Saccharomyces cerevisiae S288C: one gene and its partner. The gene in region 1 interacts genetically with each later gene. Each region holds a gene or a part of one and is shown on either strand. Other genes may lie near its edges. The genes, in order: LRG1 and VRG4.

What was found.
Region 2: mutations in LRG1 (region 1) and VRG4 together harm fitness more than expected from each alone (negative genetic interaction), as found in Saccharomyces cerevisiae (one large-scale study listed by BioGRID).

What each region holds. Positions count from the first base shown.
Region 1 is NC_001136.10:18,876-29,428, forward strand, and holds LRG1 (GTPase-activating protein LRG1), read left to right. Parts: upstream 1-3,947; coding exon 3,948-7,001; downstream 7,002-10,553. Other genes in the region: YDL242W (uncharacterized protein), read left to right, coding at 84-437; YDL241W (uncharacterized protein), read left to right, coding at 1,760-2,131; ADY3 (Ady3p), read right to left, coding at 7,528-9,900; GUD1 (guanine deaminase), read right to left, coding at 10,110-10,553. UniProt on the Saccharomyces cerevisiae protein: Acts in signal transduction. Activates CDC42, RHO1 and RHO2. Negatively regulates 1,3-beta-glucan synthesis. May be responsible for the down-regulation of CDC42 during mating.
Region 2 is NC_001139.9:73,835-81,996, reverse strand, and holds VRG4 (GDP-mannose transporter), read right to left. Parts: upstream 5,104-8,162; coding exon 4,090-5,103; downstream 1-4,089. Other genes in the region: NIF3 (uncharacterized protein), read left to right, coding at 1-571; EDC1 (Edc1p), read left to right, coding at 811-1,338; Golgi transport complex subunit COG1, read left to right, coding at 1,632-2,885; SDT1 (nucleotidase), read left to right, coding at 3,140-3,982. UniProt on the Saccharomyces cerevisiae protein: Involved in the import of GDP-mannose from the cytoplasm into the Golgi lumen. Defective copy causes severe glycosylation defect and abnormal retention of soluble endoplasmic reticulum proteins. Involved in vanadate sensitivity.

The DNA of each region.
Region 1 (10,553 bases):
TATTTAGTGCAACTTAGTTGGGTCTTGGAACGAGGTCTGCTTACTAATTTTATGTTGACGGTTGAAAGCGGATTTTAAAACGTATGAATTTAGAAGAGAGCCAATCAAATAGGGGTACGCTTAATATTAAAAAAATATTAGTAATTGTTTGTATGACGAATAAAATTTGTAAGCACCTGATCCAATCCTTATTATTGAGCAAGAGACGTCTTGTTTCTGTACTCTTTGATAACTATCAAGGCGACATGAAACTAAGGTCATCTCCATCTGCCATTCCTCTAGTTCCGTCAACGAAAATTCTTCAAGCTATGGAGGCCCGGAACGACATTGTTGACAGTCTGATCATCAATAGTCACGCAACGGAAAGTGATCGCCGGACTTTAGGAGACCATGAGGTTAGACAATGTGAGGATACCAACTTCGGCTTCAAAATTTGATACAGGTTAATTTTGAAGGCAACATTTAGGTTCGGCCTTATTTAAAAAAACCTTCAGGTACGCGTTCAAGATCCCATTTTAAAGGTATAGGCAGATTGCACTATTTTACCGGCAAATGTGCGAATATCGAAACTGGAAGATGTTTTCAAGAAAATTGATTTAAGATCCATTTGTCGTGTTTAGAGTTCTCATTGTTCTGGTCAATGATTTCAAACTCAAAAGGCACAAGAAACTTACAAAATTTGTTTCTTATGAACATTACGCCATGTTCTTTGCGAGCATGTGCTATACAGTCTTGCTAGAAAATGGCCCTATAATTAGAAAGCTCAAAAAATAACCCAATGCTGCATCGATTTTTGGAGAAAGGGGGTCAATCATCATCTATCTTCATAAATAACGAGTTGCAGAAAAATTGGAAACTGGTTGATTTTGAAAAGTTTTCATTTTTCTGGCAACAAATTATAGCTACAAAAAAAGAAGTTATGGCGCATAAGATGCATCAATATATGGTGTGACCAGATTGGACGTAACTAGTACTCATGTTATTATTCATATCCTTCATTTTTCCTTCTTTTCTTCTCCTTCTCGAACAGTAACTTCAGATTGAAAGACGTGAGGATGCTTTAGAATGCACATTAAAATTAATATACTACTGGCCTCTTGTGTTTGTCATTGGCTTCTATTTTCAATAAAACATCCAGACAACCCTGCTGTTAATTTTGGAAAAAAAATTTCGCCGATTCTAATCATGTGACTCCTTTTCCCCAGGCAATACCGGAGAAAGCGTTCTATCTCAAACTATATAATTTGCGCTGCTCGTCTCCAAGCCCATGCTAGTGTTTACTTTCGGTTGTAAAAGGTAACTAGAAGTTTTAACGCAAGCATTGTATTATATTTTCCCACAATTGCTCTTAAGGACCTTTTTTTTTCTTGCGTGATCCTGCACTATTGAAAAGTCTTTATCAAAAATAGATGAAACTTTTTCAGGGTTCAACATTTAGAGGCTTTTCTCATATTCTTTACTCAGTTGCCTGCGAAGACCCTTCTGCCCGCTGCGCATTTTCTTAGAAAATCAAAAAAATTGCCTTTTCATCTTTTACCTTCCGAGTTGAATATGTTGACTATTTGCAAACAGGCGTATGATTGTCGTATATAACAGGGCACTTTCGGCAGTGAATCAATAGGAGGCGTATAAGAAAAGCCAATTAGTACCTATATATATATATATATATATATATATATATATATATTCCTTTATTATAATTCCTATCAGCGATTTTTGCATCACACCCAAGAAAAATCTATAATAGAGACACAAAAAAATGAACGTAACTGAAAATGCTCTATTGTTTAAGTGCGGTAGCAAGGGCTATATTAATCAAACCTATACGCCGACAGAAATTTATAATTGTGGGGTAGCTGAAGGAAAGAAAACTGCTAAAGAAAAGAACCCAACTTATTCAATTTTTTATGATACATTTCTCACTGGGCAGCCTGCTGAAAGTCCTGAAACGTTTACGTGTGGTTCGCATGGCTTCACAAATGCGAGTTATGTGGCAAGCGACTTTTATGCATGTGGTTTTCTGCAAGGGAAAGGTACAGAAACCAATGCGGGAATACATAATACAAGGCCTTCTCATTCTCTCGCCAAATTTACCATACTGTTCATGCTAGTGTTGTATACAATTGTCTAATTCTCAAGGTATGACACTTTGGATTGGTGGTCGCAGTAGCCACCATATAATTTTTTATCGTTTCTACATATAATACGAGACAGTCAGACAGAACTTTGGGTCGCCTGAGAAGAAAGACTATAAAAATGTAACCCGTCAGTAGGACTCATCTTAAAACAGTGGGTAATTTACTAAGGAGGCTGGAAAAACTGCGATAATCGGCTTATAGTACATATATATAGAATAATCATTAATCGAGCCTTTACCGCGAAATTCATGGATTTCTCAAAAACAAAGGTGCAATTACATGTTAAGCACCGAATTTCTATGCGAAACAGGTCCGTCTCATCAGTCATAGCTTTCCAAGTATATAAAACTTGAACGCAAAAGTGCGTCATCGACGCCTTTTTTTGCGCAAGGATTGTTACTATTCATTTAATGAACTCTGATGTCTTAATAAGCCAATGGTATCCATAAGTGAAGGTGAAGTCTACTGTGTTACATTAGCAAGTCAGAACTCCTATACGATACAGTATACTGCATTATGGGCACTAAAATAATTTAGATTATAGAAAATATCGATACTATGCTTCCACTTCTCACGAAGCGGCCATGTTTTAAATGAAGTACGTTAACGCTAACACAAGGCTTGACAACTTTCATGAGCGTCAAATAGTCTACGTGTGGGCTCACTTTTTCAGATTTCTTCTTGGCTTTTGTGAGATGTATAATTAACAATAATCATAAAATCGCTACATAAAACAAAGCATAAAAAATTACAGATTTCCTGTTCAAAAATCAAATCGGTCCAGTTCAGCTATTGTTCTGCCGTTGTTCATGCTCAGAAAATTGGACCATGGTGTCATCTAACTTTAGTTGGTCCCATTAAGCTCTCTTCTGTATATCATGTTTGCCATATTGTCATATCATCTGCTTAGTATTAAACCGTTGTGGAAAACAAGAAAATTGCGAATTACTAGTATAGAAAATGCATTCTAAGTCGCCTGTGATTCCAATAGCAAAGAAATTGATCTTAATGGAAGTAGGAAATAGCTGTGGCAAAGAGACAGGATACTAAGATTGGTTTAAGGCGAGGTCATACTTAGCTATTTCCTTCACCAACATTGGTTTTCGAACAGTCAAGAGATGAAAACGCAAAAAAGTGCACTATAAAGTAAATACTCAAACGTTCCCAAAACAAAACGAGAAGAAGCGATAGGCACCTCAAAACTGAAATTATGGGCAAACAATATAACCCGTAAAAGATCACTTTACGACCAGAACATAATCAACATGGGTGGCCCCCATGTTGTACTCAGTTAGCTTTTTGAGCTAGCAAATATATCAAGAAGCCCGCATGTGCTACTTACGTTTGAATTACTTCTCGTTGTAACGCACTTTTCTACAACGTACCTCACTAGTAAATATAACTTAATGCTTGCAGGTTAGCCCATCGCTACAACACCTCCCCACAAAGTATTTACTTCAAGAAATCGATCTTGGCGAGTATATCCTTATCTTTATGTAAGTATCTTTTTCGTCTTCAAAGTATGCCGGGTATTGATGGGCACGGAAGATGTAAACAAAATGGAAAACAAATAAGAACAGAATCTGAAACGTCATTTGAGAATTTAAAATATGTAAATCATTCCTCTCGAGCCAACCAAGGCTGTTCTTGCTAGAAACCAGCAATTGGGCTTCTCATTCAAAACAGTATCCGTCTTTGCCTTAACATTGTTATTTGGCCTTTATCCCAGATATACGCAACCGTATTTATTCAAATCCAAAGAAAAAAAGAGCAGACAAATTATCAAACAACAAGTACCGGAGGTGAGCAATGATTCAAAATTCTGCTGGTTATCGATCGCTGAATACTGCATCTCCGATGACCGTGCAGGTGAAGAATCAGAAGAAAATATGCGCCCGTTGTAACAAGTTAGTTATACCCGATAGCCAACGAACTAAAACAACTTTAAAGGCTCTCGGTAAATATTATCATGAAAGTTGTTTTACCTGCCAAGACTGTCAGAAACCTTTAAAACCGAAGTACTTCCCATATCAAGTAGACAAGACAAGTGAATCTATATTGTTATGCCAATACGATTATTTTAGAAGACATAATTTGTTATGTCATGTATGTGATACCCCATTGCGTGGATTATATTATACCGCATTCGGTTACAGATACGACGAAGAGCATTTTTCTTGTACAATATGTGCTACTCCTTGTGGGGTTAAAAAATGCTTCATGTACGGAAACCAATTGTATTGCAAGTACCACTTTCTCAAGTATTTTTCGAAACGTTGCAAAGGGTGCGAGTTCCCAATATCGGATCAATATATCGAGTTTCCTAAAGGTGAAGAAATACATTGTTGGCATCCGGAATGTTATGGAATTCATAAATATTGGCATGTAAATTTAGCAGCAGAAACTGTTGGTTTGCAGTACCTTCCCAAGCTGGAATATAACCCAAATTCCGGAGACAAAGATATAAACCCAACTGCCTACGAGTTAGATAAACAAATGCAGGCGTTTAACTTTATTCTATCTAAAACGTGGTCGGTTTTATATCGTTTTGAGGAAGAGGCAGCTTCTTGCATTTCTGATATGTTTCAATATTTGACAAGCAATGATCAGTTAAAGGGCATAGAGTCTACGGGTCTGTTGGTACTAAAAATCGACTGTCTTTTCCGGGGACTGGATACTTTAAACCTCTCGACGAACAAAAGTATGCCAGTTAACAGTGATCAAGAATGCATTGAAAACAACGCAATGGCGGCCAGTAAATACAGCAAGTTTCCCAAAAATCTGTCCACAAAAATTATGATATATTTACAACTCTTAAGAAAGTTAGGGACAGAAAACAAAAACGAAACTATCACAATTTCATCTTTTATGTCTGTTATTACTGGATTAGCCCATTTTCTAAAACTGTTAACAAGATTTGGGCTATATACGGCTCTAGAAAACAATAAGTTGACTCATTCTGTTAATCCATTGTTGAGGTTTTTAAGAGAAGTAGAGAAAAATGAGCTTTTTGAAAATAACCCGTTTCAGTATATAAAGACTCCTGTTAACGCCACAGATAGTTGCGCTGGATGCAATAAATACATACAGGAGGAATGCATTCAATTTTATGAGCACCGGTGGCATATTGCTTGTTTTACTTGTTCTTCATGCCATAAGAATATAAATCCGAGGAGTTTGACGGATCCCACCTTTAATAAAGAGAAAAAAAAGATACTATGTTCTCACTGCTCAATTGATGATCCGGCCTCTGTGCCGGGTTTCAAATTTGTTACTAAGCTAGCACAACTAATTTTTCTTCTAAAAATTGCCCTAGTCAAATCAAGAACTGTAATGTTGAAATCGAAAGCATCTAACAAGGTAGGCAGAAACTCTTTACAGAGTACTATGCTAAAGGAACAAACTTACATTAGGACACTGAATGATATTAAAAGATTGAGATCTAGAAGAGAAAGTGTTCGGGTCACTCATAACAAACAACAAGCTAGAAAATCAGTGATACTGGAAACTGCAGAGACAGATTTAAATGACCCGACAAAACAAGGAGATAGTAAAAATCTTGTGATTCAAACAGATGACCCATCATCGAGCCAACAAGTGAGCACACGTGAAAATGTTTTCAGTAATACTAAGACGTTGACACTAGATGATATTTCACGTATTGTTGCCGCTGAACAAGCAAGGGAGCTAAGACCTAACGCTTTTGCACACTTTAAAAAACTAAAAGAAACCGATGACGAAACTTCGAATGTTGTTCCCAAGAAAAGCGGAGTTTATTACTCTGAATTAAGTACGATGGAACTCTCGATGATAAGGGCTATCAGTTTGTCACTGCTAGCTGGTAAACAACTGATATCGAAGACTGATCCTAACTATACTAGCTTAGTCTCAATGGTCTTCTCGAATGAAAAGCAAGTCACAGGTAGCTTTTGGAACAGAATGAAAATCATGATGAGCATGGAGCCTAAAAAGCCCATCACTAAGACTGTTTTTGGTGCTCCTTTAGATGTGTTGTGCGAGAAATGGGGTGTTGATTCCGATTTAGGTGTGGGGCCAGTGAAGATTAGGATCCCCATAATTATTGACGAGCTAATATCATCTTTGAGGCAAATGGATATGTCAGTAGAAGGTATTTTCAGGAAAAATGGAAATATCAGAAGACTGAGAGAACTAACTGCTAACATCGACAGTAATCCAACAGAAGCTCCAGACTTCTCGAAAGAAAATGCAATCCAATTATCTGCTCTTTTGAAGAAATTTATCAGAGAGCTTCCCCAACCGATTTTATCGACAGACTTATATGAACTATGGATTAAGGCCGCGAAAATTGATTTAGAGGATGAGAAACAGCGTGTTATATTGCTAATATATTCCTTATTACCCACTTACAATCGCAATTTACTGGAGGCACTTTTGTCATTTTTGCATTGGACGTCCTCATTCTCTTACATTGAGAATGAAATGGGATCAAAAATGGACATTCACAATTTATCCACAGTCATAACACCTAATATTTTATATTTGCGACATAAAGAAATTTCCAATGATAACGTCCCTGACGAACCAGAATCAGGTTTAGTTGATTCATTCGCTCAAAACAAGGGAGAAAATTACTTTTTGGCTATTGAGATAGTTGATTACCTGATTACTCACAATGAAGAAATGGCAATGGTTCCGAAATTTTTAATGAATCTTTTAAAAGATGTGCAGTTACAAAAATTAGATAACTACGAATCAATCAACCATTTTATTTCCACCGTTATGCAAAGTAAAACAATCGATTATTCCGAATGTGACATAAAAACTCCTGTCACAGTCAAAGATTCGACCACAACGGTCATACAAGGTGAAATAAACAAATAATAGGCAGAAACTGTAAGTTTCCCCTCATTTTCCTTTTTTTCTTCTCCTTCCCCTCAGATTTCGAGGTTTGTCGTTCTTATTAGAGTTCTTTGCTTTTTTCTTTGCCTATTTCAATAAAATCTTACCAGTATGCTATGGAAATGGACATTATTTTATTATTATACAACATAGTATATTCTGACTAAAATGGAATTAGAAATTGTAACATTAGTATGTACTTATAATCATTTGTATCATTGTATTACTCGCCTTTTGATGTAAATTTTGTTTATATCTCAGAACATCTCCAACAGCAGATCAGAAGTTACATTGTTCTTGTAAGTGCTTAAGAAGTCTGTTAGCAAATTGAAATCTTTCAGAAGAATATTCCACCAAAATTTCGGAAAAGCAATACCAGCGGTAAAATATCTGCCATGCTCTATATTATGTGACTTTATTTTAGGTGCACCCCCCACCAGTAACTTATTCTCTAAATAATAATTAATGACACCATTGAATATATTAGTTCTAAATAAAAAAAAAAAAGCTAAGAAAAGAAATATTTAAACAACGCTTGCAAATCATACTCAAGAGGATGCTTTACTTCAGCAATATCATGATTGTTCAAAAACTCATTCATTGCGACCTTTCTTCTACTTTTGAAATCTAACTGTTTACCAAAAACCTTAAGGTTCAAATCATTAGCAAATTTTGTGAGAAGTGTAAGCTCACATCTAAGTTGAATGACAATTGTTGGTACAATTTTTAAGAAGGTTTTTAATGGGATATCCAACACAATTAATAAATTTTTGATTAGATTTTGCGATTGCACATAGGTAAGGTCTGTCAGAATATCAAGACCCAAGGAGTCGTACTTTTCCTTCGTTATATGTGGAAAAGATTTTCCAACAGTTTCAAAATTAAGTTCGGTAGAAGGATCACCATATAGTTTTTTTAAATTCAGCTTCTCTTGGAATACATCTTCTTTTAGTGATAGAATTGTTTCTTCGAGTTTTAATATTTCACTTTGTTTTCCAGCTAACTCGTCAGTAATTTTCTTATGTGTGTTTTCTGACTCTTGAATTTGAGTGCTCCATCTTGAAGCAATCAAAGCCTGATTCTGAAGTTTCTCAACAATTTCCTGGTGTTCATTCATGTAATCGTTCAATTTATCTTCGGCATTTTTCTGAATTTTTTCACTTAGTATTAATTTTTCTTTTAACTCGCTCTTCAGTTTTTGAAAGTTTTCTTCCTTGAGGTTCAGGATATCATGCCATCTCCTTTTTTCCAAACGAAATTGTTGTTCTTTTGTTAACGCCTCTTTTTGAAGATATTTTATTTTGTGACTGTGCTGCTGTTGCATAAAATGTAATCTTTCATTAATCAATTTAAAGACAGAAATGATTTTTTCAAGACGTATACGGTCATTCTTTTCCAAAAGTTCTATCTTTCCTTTTAATTGTTTGTATTGCTCCATATTTTCAAGATTTTTGATATCTTGAAAATCCGGATAAAGCTTGGCAAAACCGTTTTGAAACATCGAAGGGGAATGGCCACATTTCATTTCTTCTAGTATGAATTTACCAAGGTCTTTCTCAAAAAGAGAAAGATTTTGCATATAGCTGTAAACATCATTTAACCTTTTCTCGTAAAACGAACCATTATCATGTAATTTTTTATTTTCATCTTGAGAAAGTTGCAAATTGCTTTTCAGTATTTCAACTTCAGATCTTAATTTTACTATAGAGTTATTCGATTCGTTAATATCTTTTAGAAATTTATCATTTTCTTGCTGCAAGTTTAGGATTTGTTTTTGCTTCCTGTATAGTTCCGAAACTAAAATATTTCTTTGAGAAAAAGCTTTACATTTAGTTTTGGCACTAGTCACTTCATTCTTCTCCTTCTTGCTAGCGTTTTTGTTTTGAAAGTCTGTAATTTTTTCTTCTCTAATTTTTTTAATTTCTTTGCGAAACCGGTCCTGAACAATGTTGAGCCTTTTTGATGCAGCTTTTCTTTCGTTGTGGAATTCCTTCTGCAAGTCTTCTATTCTTTGAAGTTTAGCATCATTCATGCTATTAAGTTCTTCTAGTTCTTGAATCCTGTCATCCTTCTCTTCTAGTTTTTGTCTTAGTGCTTTGATCTCTTCATTTTGGGACTGGAGCTCATCTAATACCTTGGGTAAACTATTTTCTTTAGAAATACTTCCTCCATATGATGAAGAAGATAGCCTAATTTCTCCTAATTTCATATATTCGGACTGTTCTTCATCTGGAGTTTTAGATGAGCGAAATACGTTCTCTAGATGCGCAACCTCTATATTCTCCTCCAGACTCTCATTGCTTACAACATAATGCTCATCATTTGAGATTGCTGCGACTTTGTGGGGATTCGTGAGGAGCTTTGTAGGTGTAGAAGAAAATCTATTCACTTCAATACTATTGTGTACTTTGTATGTGGTAAATTTACCAGGGCTTACATTTCCTAATGTACTGGGCTTTCCTGCAGGTGACAGAGCCTGCGAGCCTATTCCTACAGTTGGTAAACCACCCCTTTGTAGAAATTTATTAGGCGATTTTAAAGTATTTTTTTCCGTAGCATTTTCCAATGTACTAATGTTACCAGAAGGTGAAGAGGCTTCTGAACCTGCCCAACTCTCTGAGCGGTTTCTTCGGGAACGCCTATTCGACAGTTTTGATATAATATCAGAAGAAATACTTTCCTGCACATTAGATTTTTCAGTGGACGTAGGTACTTCAGAGTCTATCCAAGTTTGTGAACGCCGCTCTCGAAAAGGTTTACTTTCTGGAGACTTAGTTAAAGTGCCATCAGTAACATGTCTCATCTCCCCCTGCTGGTCGCAATCCGAGTTTTGTTCCTTTAGGGATTCAGGCTTATTCAAAAATGCTAACCAATGATTCATATTCGGAGAAGTTTGTTGTATTCAACTATCCCATTCAAAATCCCAAACCGAGTTTTGCAATTCTTTCACTGGCAAATCTCTTTGTGTTCCTAATCTTAATATTGTACAATGGGCGGCTAAAGCGCGATACGCAAAAGAAATTTGTACATATACTCAAATTACTCATTAATACTTGGAACAAGATATAGTAGCCCTCTAAACATATACAACTAAATCTGGTAGACTTGCTGGCCGGCTACCCAAACTTTAGTGGTGTTGCGATCATCACCGTTAAAGAACCATTTTGCGATTATGTCTTCATTAGTAAGCAGCGGTGGGTTCTTATAAGGGTCTTGCCCTTGCTCTTGCTCTTGCTCTTGCATTTGATCCTTCTCCTTTAGCTGCCAATGAAACATATCCACGTTTGAGCCGGGAGCATTGGTATCGATCATTTGAGCGTCAAACTGCTTACCGACGTCAAAAGTCCCCAAGGTCTCATCCATACGCAAGACTTGTGCTCCGCCCATTGTAGCAAGAAATAGGCACTCGGAGACTGAAAGTTTTGCATGATCAGTTTCTCTCATTGCCAAATGCCTTGAAACTGCAAAGGCCTGCCTTCCGGTGGTGAGTATGCTACAAGAATGACCGGCTGAAACGTCGGTGCCTAGACCAAC
Region 2 (8,162 bases), on another chromosome or scaffold:
CGAGACAGCTATAAAGCTAATCCAGTACGGAATATCCGTATACTGCCCTCACACTGCCGTAGATGCCGCTCGTGGCGGTGTAAATGACTGGTTGGTTAGGGGTTTGAACAACGGAGAGAACGTCGCAAAGTCTTATGCCTTGGAAACTGTAAGTGGCGAAACTGACGACTTGATTGGCTACGGTAGATTCGTAGAATTCAATAAAGACATCTCTTTGGAGCAAATTGTCAAAAATGTCAAGCGTGTTTTACGGGTTCCCTATGTACAAGTAGCATCTCTTGCTGCTCCATCCGCATGGAATCAACTCAAAATCAAAAAAGTCGCTGTCTGTGCCGGGAGCGGTTCTGGCGTGTTTAAGCAACTAAAAGAGGACGTAGACCTTTACTATACGGGAGAAATGTCACATCATGAAGTACTGAAGTGGAAAGAAATGGGCAAGACCGTTATTGTTTGCAACCACTCAAATACTGAGCGTGGATTCCTTCAAGACGTTATGAAGGGCTTGTTGCAAGATGAGGGCCACGAAGTAGTCGTAAGCAAAATGGATTGCGATCCTTTGACTGTTGCATAGCTGCTAGTAATTATATGGCTATATAGGATATCACAAATACCATACGTACTACAGTTTTATCATCCGGCTGTTCGTGTAAAATGATGTTGTTGTATCGGATAGAGAAATACGGATAGAAAAGGTAAAAGTCTTCAAATAACAAGGACAATAACATACTCTGTATTGAAGACGAAGTACTCAGCAAAGCGTAACGTAATTACACTTAGCACACAAATATACTCACACAAATATTACAAGGCATGTCGACGGATACCATGTATTTCAACAGCTCCAGGCTGTTGCCATCGGCTGGCAGGAACAAGACAAATAATCTAATCAAACAAAAAACTAGAAATAATCGTGCGAGGGGAAATGCTGCTAAGAACGCCAATAATAACAACTATATCACAGATATACCACCTCCTCAAACTCTTCCTAACGGTCAGAAACCTAACTTCGGCCATTCTTCCAACAAGAAACCATCATTTAATCAAAAGAAGCACTCTCCACCTTCTTCCCCTTCCTCTACAACTACTTTAGGTAAAAAAAACAGACAGAATAATAAAGAAACGCCACGACAGAACAACAAAGATGATACTCGTTTACTGAGTCAGAACCTAAAGAATCTGCTTCTGAACCAGAAACAATCCCCGCATGGCTCTCAAGGGATAATACCAATGGGTTGTAATGGCAGTGCCAAAAAACTCAGTCACTCTTATGCAGGCTCCACTTTCGCCACTAATGGTCCAAGGGAGGCTAAAAACTTGCCCAAACCAAGTTTTTTATAATCACCCTTTAGAGAGACATTTTTGATTTTTTTTTTTTTTTTTTTTTTTTTTTTTTTAGAATAATGCATATTTTTATTTGATATATACCTATGTACCAATTATACGAATGCTTATGTCTGTTTTGGATCTGGTCATCCAAAGCAATTTCTCAGATGACAATTTTTTTTTCCTATTTTCTGTTACAGTTCATCATTATGCTGAAGAAAAATGAAACATGGCGGTGAATAATAAATAACACATTCGTACAACAAATCTTGTGGTAGAAAACCTAAAAAAAACCAATACGATAGAAAATGGATGAAGTCTTACCATTGTTTCGCGATTCTCATATTCCACAGATTAAAGATTATCAATTGGAGTTACAGAACGATTTGACTAAAACCAATGAGGCCTTCCAAAAGAATTTGCTAAAGAACTATAACAAGATCTTAAGCTTGACCGATTCTGTTAATGACTTGTCGCTCAATTTGAAAAATGTTGATCAAGATTTTAAATCCCTGTGTTTCAATGATGAAAAATTTCAGTTGAATAAGTTAACTCCACTACCATACCAAACCACTACCCATATATCACCACCTCGTGACGAAGAAAAAGTCAGCATACCATCGCAAAACATTTTAGTAATTTCAAATTGGACCATCTCCATCAACAACTTCTGTAATCGTATAGTTACTTCCACTACTCCGTCGCGGATATTCGACGAGCTACTGTTGAATTTCCACGAATTATCTTTGATACCAGTTCCTTCCAAATTTGAAGCGCTTGTCAAGGACAAATGTTGTCGACTACAGAAGTTCTTGGTGGACTCTATGAAGACATTAAACTTAACTTTACTACAGTGGGTAAAACTATACAATTTACTAAACACGGAGTTTTCCTCGAAGTGGGACGATGATTTACTTTCTATATTCAATGAATCCCTATTCGAGACACTATTTAACGATAACGTTCAAGCGTTACTGATATCAAGTGCCAACAGCAAAGATCATCAATATCACTCCAATCAGCAATATAAGGACGCGATTGTTGTCGATTTTGTGAATTCGTCCACCTTTAGAGACCATCTCATTCGGAGAACCGTGAAAGAAATAAACACACATTTGGATACACTCTCTACTTTGAGAGCCAAGCTTAAGGAGCCTGAAACTCTTCATAAATTAGATATCTTCCATGATAATGATACGAACCTCAATGATGGCACTGTATCTCCACTTGATGATGATGCATTGAAACAATATATTGATACAGCGGTATTCTATTCAAAAGGTTTAACCAATGATACCACGTTGCAAATTTATCAAACGGTGCAGCCTACGATTGAAATCCTACAAAACTTAGAATTGTATAAATGCCCTCAAGAGACACTGACAGATTTGAGAAATAAATTGATTACTCAATTGCAAGAGTTTAAGACTCAGATCTCATCCCGCTTACCTTCACCACTGGAAAACTCAACGAGTGTTGTGGATGATTTTATAACTTCGTACAACAATCACAATCTCTTGCAATTAGTCATCGATCAAATTACTCAATTAAGGCAACAGTAATATAATAGCACGAGGGAGGGTACCCGCCTCGCAAACTTATTGATAATGATAATGGTATGGGCGTTGATATATACATATATATATATATATATATATATATATATATATACATAATATATATATGTTTATCTGTGTGTATCTATGTGGACTTCAATAAGTGATCGCCTTCTTGATATCATATTACTCCCCCATTTCACCTGAATTAATTTCGGAATACATGAGTAAGCTCTTGGACCGAATCATTACTAGGCTTCATGACTGTTGAATATACTGCATCCGATTTGGCAACCTATCAGAATGAGGTGAACGAACAAATTGCCAAGAATAAAGCACATCTTGAATCATTGACTCATCCAGGTTCGAAAGTGACATTTCCGATCGATCAAGATATTTCTGCTACACCTCAAAACCCGAACTTAAAAGTTTTCTTTTTTGATATCGACAACTGTCTCTATAAATCATCCACGAGAATTCACGATCTTATGCAACAATCTATACTGAGGTTCTTTCAAACACACTTGAAACTATCACCTGAAGATGCTCACGTTTTGAATAACTCTTACTACAAAGAGTATGGACTTGCCATAAGGGGACTTGTAATGTTCCACAAAGTGAACGCACTGGAATATAACCGGCTTGTGGATGATTCCTTACCACTACAAGATATCTTGAAACCTGATATACCATTAAGGAATATGCTGTTGAGATTGAGACAATCGGGAAAGATTGATAAATTGTGGCTTTTCACCAACGCTTATAAAAACCACGCAATACGTTGCCTGAGATTGTTGGGTATAGCGGATTTATTTGATGGATTGACATATTGTGACTACTCTAGGACAGATACGCTGGTCTGCAAACCACATGTTAAAGCATTTGAAAAAGCCATGAAGGAAAGCGGGTTGGCAAGATACGAGAATGCTTATTTTATAGATGACAGTGGGAAAAACATCGAGACAGGTATCAAATTGGGCATGAAAACATGTATTCATTTAGTTGAGAATGAAGTAAATGAAATTTTGGGGCAAACACCAGAAGGCGCTATTGTCATTAGTGATATATTGGAGTTACCACACGTTGTGTCCGACCTGTTCTAAGGTATATCAATTTTAAGTATAATTGTATATAAATCTACTTGCATTAGATGCCTCTATAAAATAAAATAAACCAAAAAAAAAAAATAAATTGCACCCCCCGTAAGTTCTCATTTACGTAAAGGTTGGGCTTGTTGCTTCTTTTGTTTGGCAACAGCATAAATAATACCTGATAGGAAACCAATAAAAATGGAGAGAATAGATAAGAAGTTTCTTGGAGCATCAAAGAAAATCAAACCAGACAAGGCAATTGGCAGCTTGTTCAAAGCCCCTACCATCGAATATGTAGTAGACGAAGTAACACGAACACACCAACCGGAACAGTAAGAAATACCGACGGATGCAACACCACTGATGATCATAGCAGTTAGCGAATCGTTAGAAAAGTTATTGGTCAAATTAACTGAAGACCAATCTTCCACACAGAAAGAAAACAGCAATAGAATAGGTAGAGCCAAAACATTGTTGTAAAACATAGTGTCGAAATCCTTGAAGTTAGTTAACTTAATTCTCTTTCTCATTATAAGAACGAATAATGCAGAAGTGATACAGTTGGTGAACATCCAGAAATAACCTGGGTTAAAGGAGGCAACAGCACCGGCTGCTCCTTCAGCCAATGAAGCAGCCTTGGCAGCCACAGCTTGCTGGTCACCCCAAGTTGCAACGACAGAAGAAAGGACCATCAACAAAAATGATGACAATTCCATGGAGGTGACAGAGCCACCAAAAAAGAGAACCTCACCATAAGCAATCAAGATAATAGTCAAATTCTTGAAAATGGTGTAAATTGGAACAGCCAAGTATTGTAAAGCCTTCGAAGAGGTGTAGATCATCAAGACCAGTAAAAAGGAAATAGGGAACCAGTTCTTGGCGTCTGTTTTGTTTAATGAACGGAACTTCGCATAGCCCAGTATACGTAGGATAATCAAGGTTATAGTACAAACCAAAGATTGCACGAAAAGCATGACAAAGTTCATGTTGAAATCCTTCAAATTGACGACGAACTTGTTAGTCACCGTCATTAAAATAGAGGAACCACAGTAGGATAAAATAGAGATCGGACCGGAATTGGCAACTGAAGCCCAAGGGTTATGGCCTGCATGACCTGTTTTCAATTCAGACATTCGGGCGAAAGATACTGTGTGGTTAGTGTGTTTGTTTTCTTAGGCTCTTTTGGTAATTAAGAGGATGTCAACAATTAATCGGCAACAAGAAATAGGCTTGGCAGCGTTATATATATTCTGTTTTTCTGTTCATTGTTTGTTCGGATCGCGAAATTTCAATTTTTTTCTTTCTTTTTTTTTTTTTCGGCCAAAACTATTATCCAAGGCTGGGTAAGAGGATTCTGAAAAACCCGTTTAGCTTTTCGTATATTGCGATTCATTACGCGTTTAGGCGACGTGTCTTCTTTCGTCAACTGTGATATTTTTCGTGTTATGGGCGGCTAATTCTTTATAAAAAGGGAAATTTAATCATTATGGCAAACTCAAATGGTGTTCCTACATCTATATACCACCATGCCACTTTGTACCACCAGTCATATATTTTCTTCTACTCATAAGGGAGCCGCATATATATATGGCGCACATTGCCATGGTCCATTACAAGCTTTTTTCTCGTAGCACTTTAGAATGTCTATTGAGTTGCAATATTCAGGCAAAAATGCGTTCTATCTTCAGAATGTAGCTGTTGAAATTGTTGTTTGACTTTTTTTGGACTAGTAGCCGTCTTATCGAACCAAATAGAAGCATATGTTACCTCATTATTCTCTCAATATGGTATTGGAGCGGGTGTGGGTGTGTTCCTTTTGTTCTTAAACGATAGGTACGCATTAAACACCGCTTATGCAGATGGTACATCATATACTGCTTATACCCTTTCCTACTTCAGATGAATATGCAAAACATGTACCGCAATGATGCGAGAGTAACTTTAACAAGAGCTCTTTCGCGTGTGTAGCGATAATATTCAGGGGCGACAAGTGTAGTAATGAAGATATAGTTCTCACCGGTACCTAGATGTCACTACTCGGACACCAGATTACTGTAGCAAGCAAGGTCAATGTCGAGACTAAGCATGATCATAAGTATTGGCGCCCGACATTGCATTTTTTTCCTTGAGATCATATCACAGTGCATGCCATCACAAATAGTTACTTTGATTATTTCAGTGCCATCGCATGACTTCAGTTTTATTACACCTTTAATGATGTAAAAGCGCCGTCAAGATACTAATATAGACGCACGAGTTTCGTTCGCGCGTCTTGGTGAGATTGAAAAGTTATTTTGCCTTTCTTGTCGAGATGATGGTATTTCCCTTTTTTATTTAACATTCATTAATTCCTACCTGTAGTTATCAACCTTTACAGCAACGCAAGTGAAGTGGCTTACTATATAAGCGTAACTCCAATGTGCTTGGTTAGTTTTGGAAAATTTCAAGGCGTTGTTGCAGAATTGTACCTTTAAACATGTCTACAACAACTATGTGGATGTAGCATCTCTATCATGACGCAAACGCAAACATCTCTCTCTCTCTCTCTCTCTAAGTCGCATGTTAAGGCCGATAGTACTGGTTTAACAGGGTTTGCCAAGGCCTCAATCGTTAAGTTAGCTTCTCCACTTTCCCCAGCATCAATCTTATGGTATGATCAACAATCTACGAGGAATTGCAGAAATGATACCTGTATCACAAAGGAATTTGCGTATCATAGCGTCAACTGGAACCATGGATGGAGCTGAGAATTTATTCCTCATAAACGAATTCAAGTTTCTTTCGCTCTGCCAACACAAAAATTTCAATTTCTGTCCTACTTATGTCCTATGAGAGCCATAATTTACACCTCACGTACATAGTTGCGGTAATATGATAAGTACACTTTTTCTGTGCTTCATTATCGTAGCGATAGGTATACCACTCATCGTAAGTGTGGACGTAGCGATGGAGGTTTCTGTGCCATTACCACCACAACCATTCTACTCTTGTAGTGATGCCGCCAACGTGGAATTATGTGGTATCGTTGTTATCTGCCGTTGACTACCCTCGGTCCAACCAACGTAAAGGCCAATCTCACTTTCTAAGAAGGTCTTATCAGGGTTGATACGGACAAACTCTTCATAGCCTACGTCGAAATCAAATTCTGCTGAAGCTGTGATTGTAATCAAACCTAAAATGGTAATTACTGCTCGAAAAAAAAGTAGAGAAATTCATGGTTGACGCTCAAGTTCAGGGATCTGAGAAAATCTTTTATTCGTACGTCCCATGTGCTCGGTCATACTATGGCTGCTATATATACAACATGGTTGTGGAGAATTTACGCAGGATGTGCCTACTACCTTGGGAGCTACTAATGTCGTATATTTCAAGTGTCTGCATGAAGACTGCATTATAGTCCCTTCAGAGTTTTCTTTGATCGTTTACAATGATCATGGTGAAAGGATTATTTCTGTTATAGCTGGCACACGACAGTCACCTATATGGTAGTTACTAACTAAATATTGCTCAAAGTCAATTCCCAACAATGGGAAGCATGCTGCGATTTTAACAAAGAAGCAGCAGTACCCAGATACGGAACTGGATTAGACAGAGGAGGAAAATCATAAGGTACACAAAATTTTTTGGGCTTTAATTTCTCAAAATGTTTGCCGGTAAACCTGTACATTCTTTTTTCACCATCAGTCTATCTTGTAATTAAGTCTTTCATGTAGTATTGAATCTGCAATATTTTTTAACCAACTATCAATTTTCGTGTCAACAAATTACTCTTTACCATGTAGACAGCTACTGATTCAGGCGCACATGAAGACCTATTCGCTTATTTAACAAATATTAGCGTATTTTTTGAGACTATTAACGTGTGTAGACCTCCAGAGGCTGCACTCTAAAAGCCCCCAGGGATATGTCTATACTGTCCTTTGAGAGTTATACGTATGAAAAATAGTAAGGAGACGTCTCTAAGCGTATTTAGAATATACGCTAAGAGTGACTAATGTAGGTAAGTGCGCAGTAATGGCTGGTAAACTTTTTTTTATACTAGTGCCATGTTGTACTGAACTTCAATTTTACAACTAAACTATGAAGCAAGTATCTTATCTTGGGGTTGTATATTTCAATTAAGTGGTTTCGTGGTCTAGTCGGTTATGGCATCTGCTTAACACGCAGAACGTCCCCAGTTCGATCCTGGGCG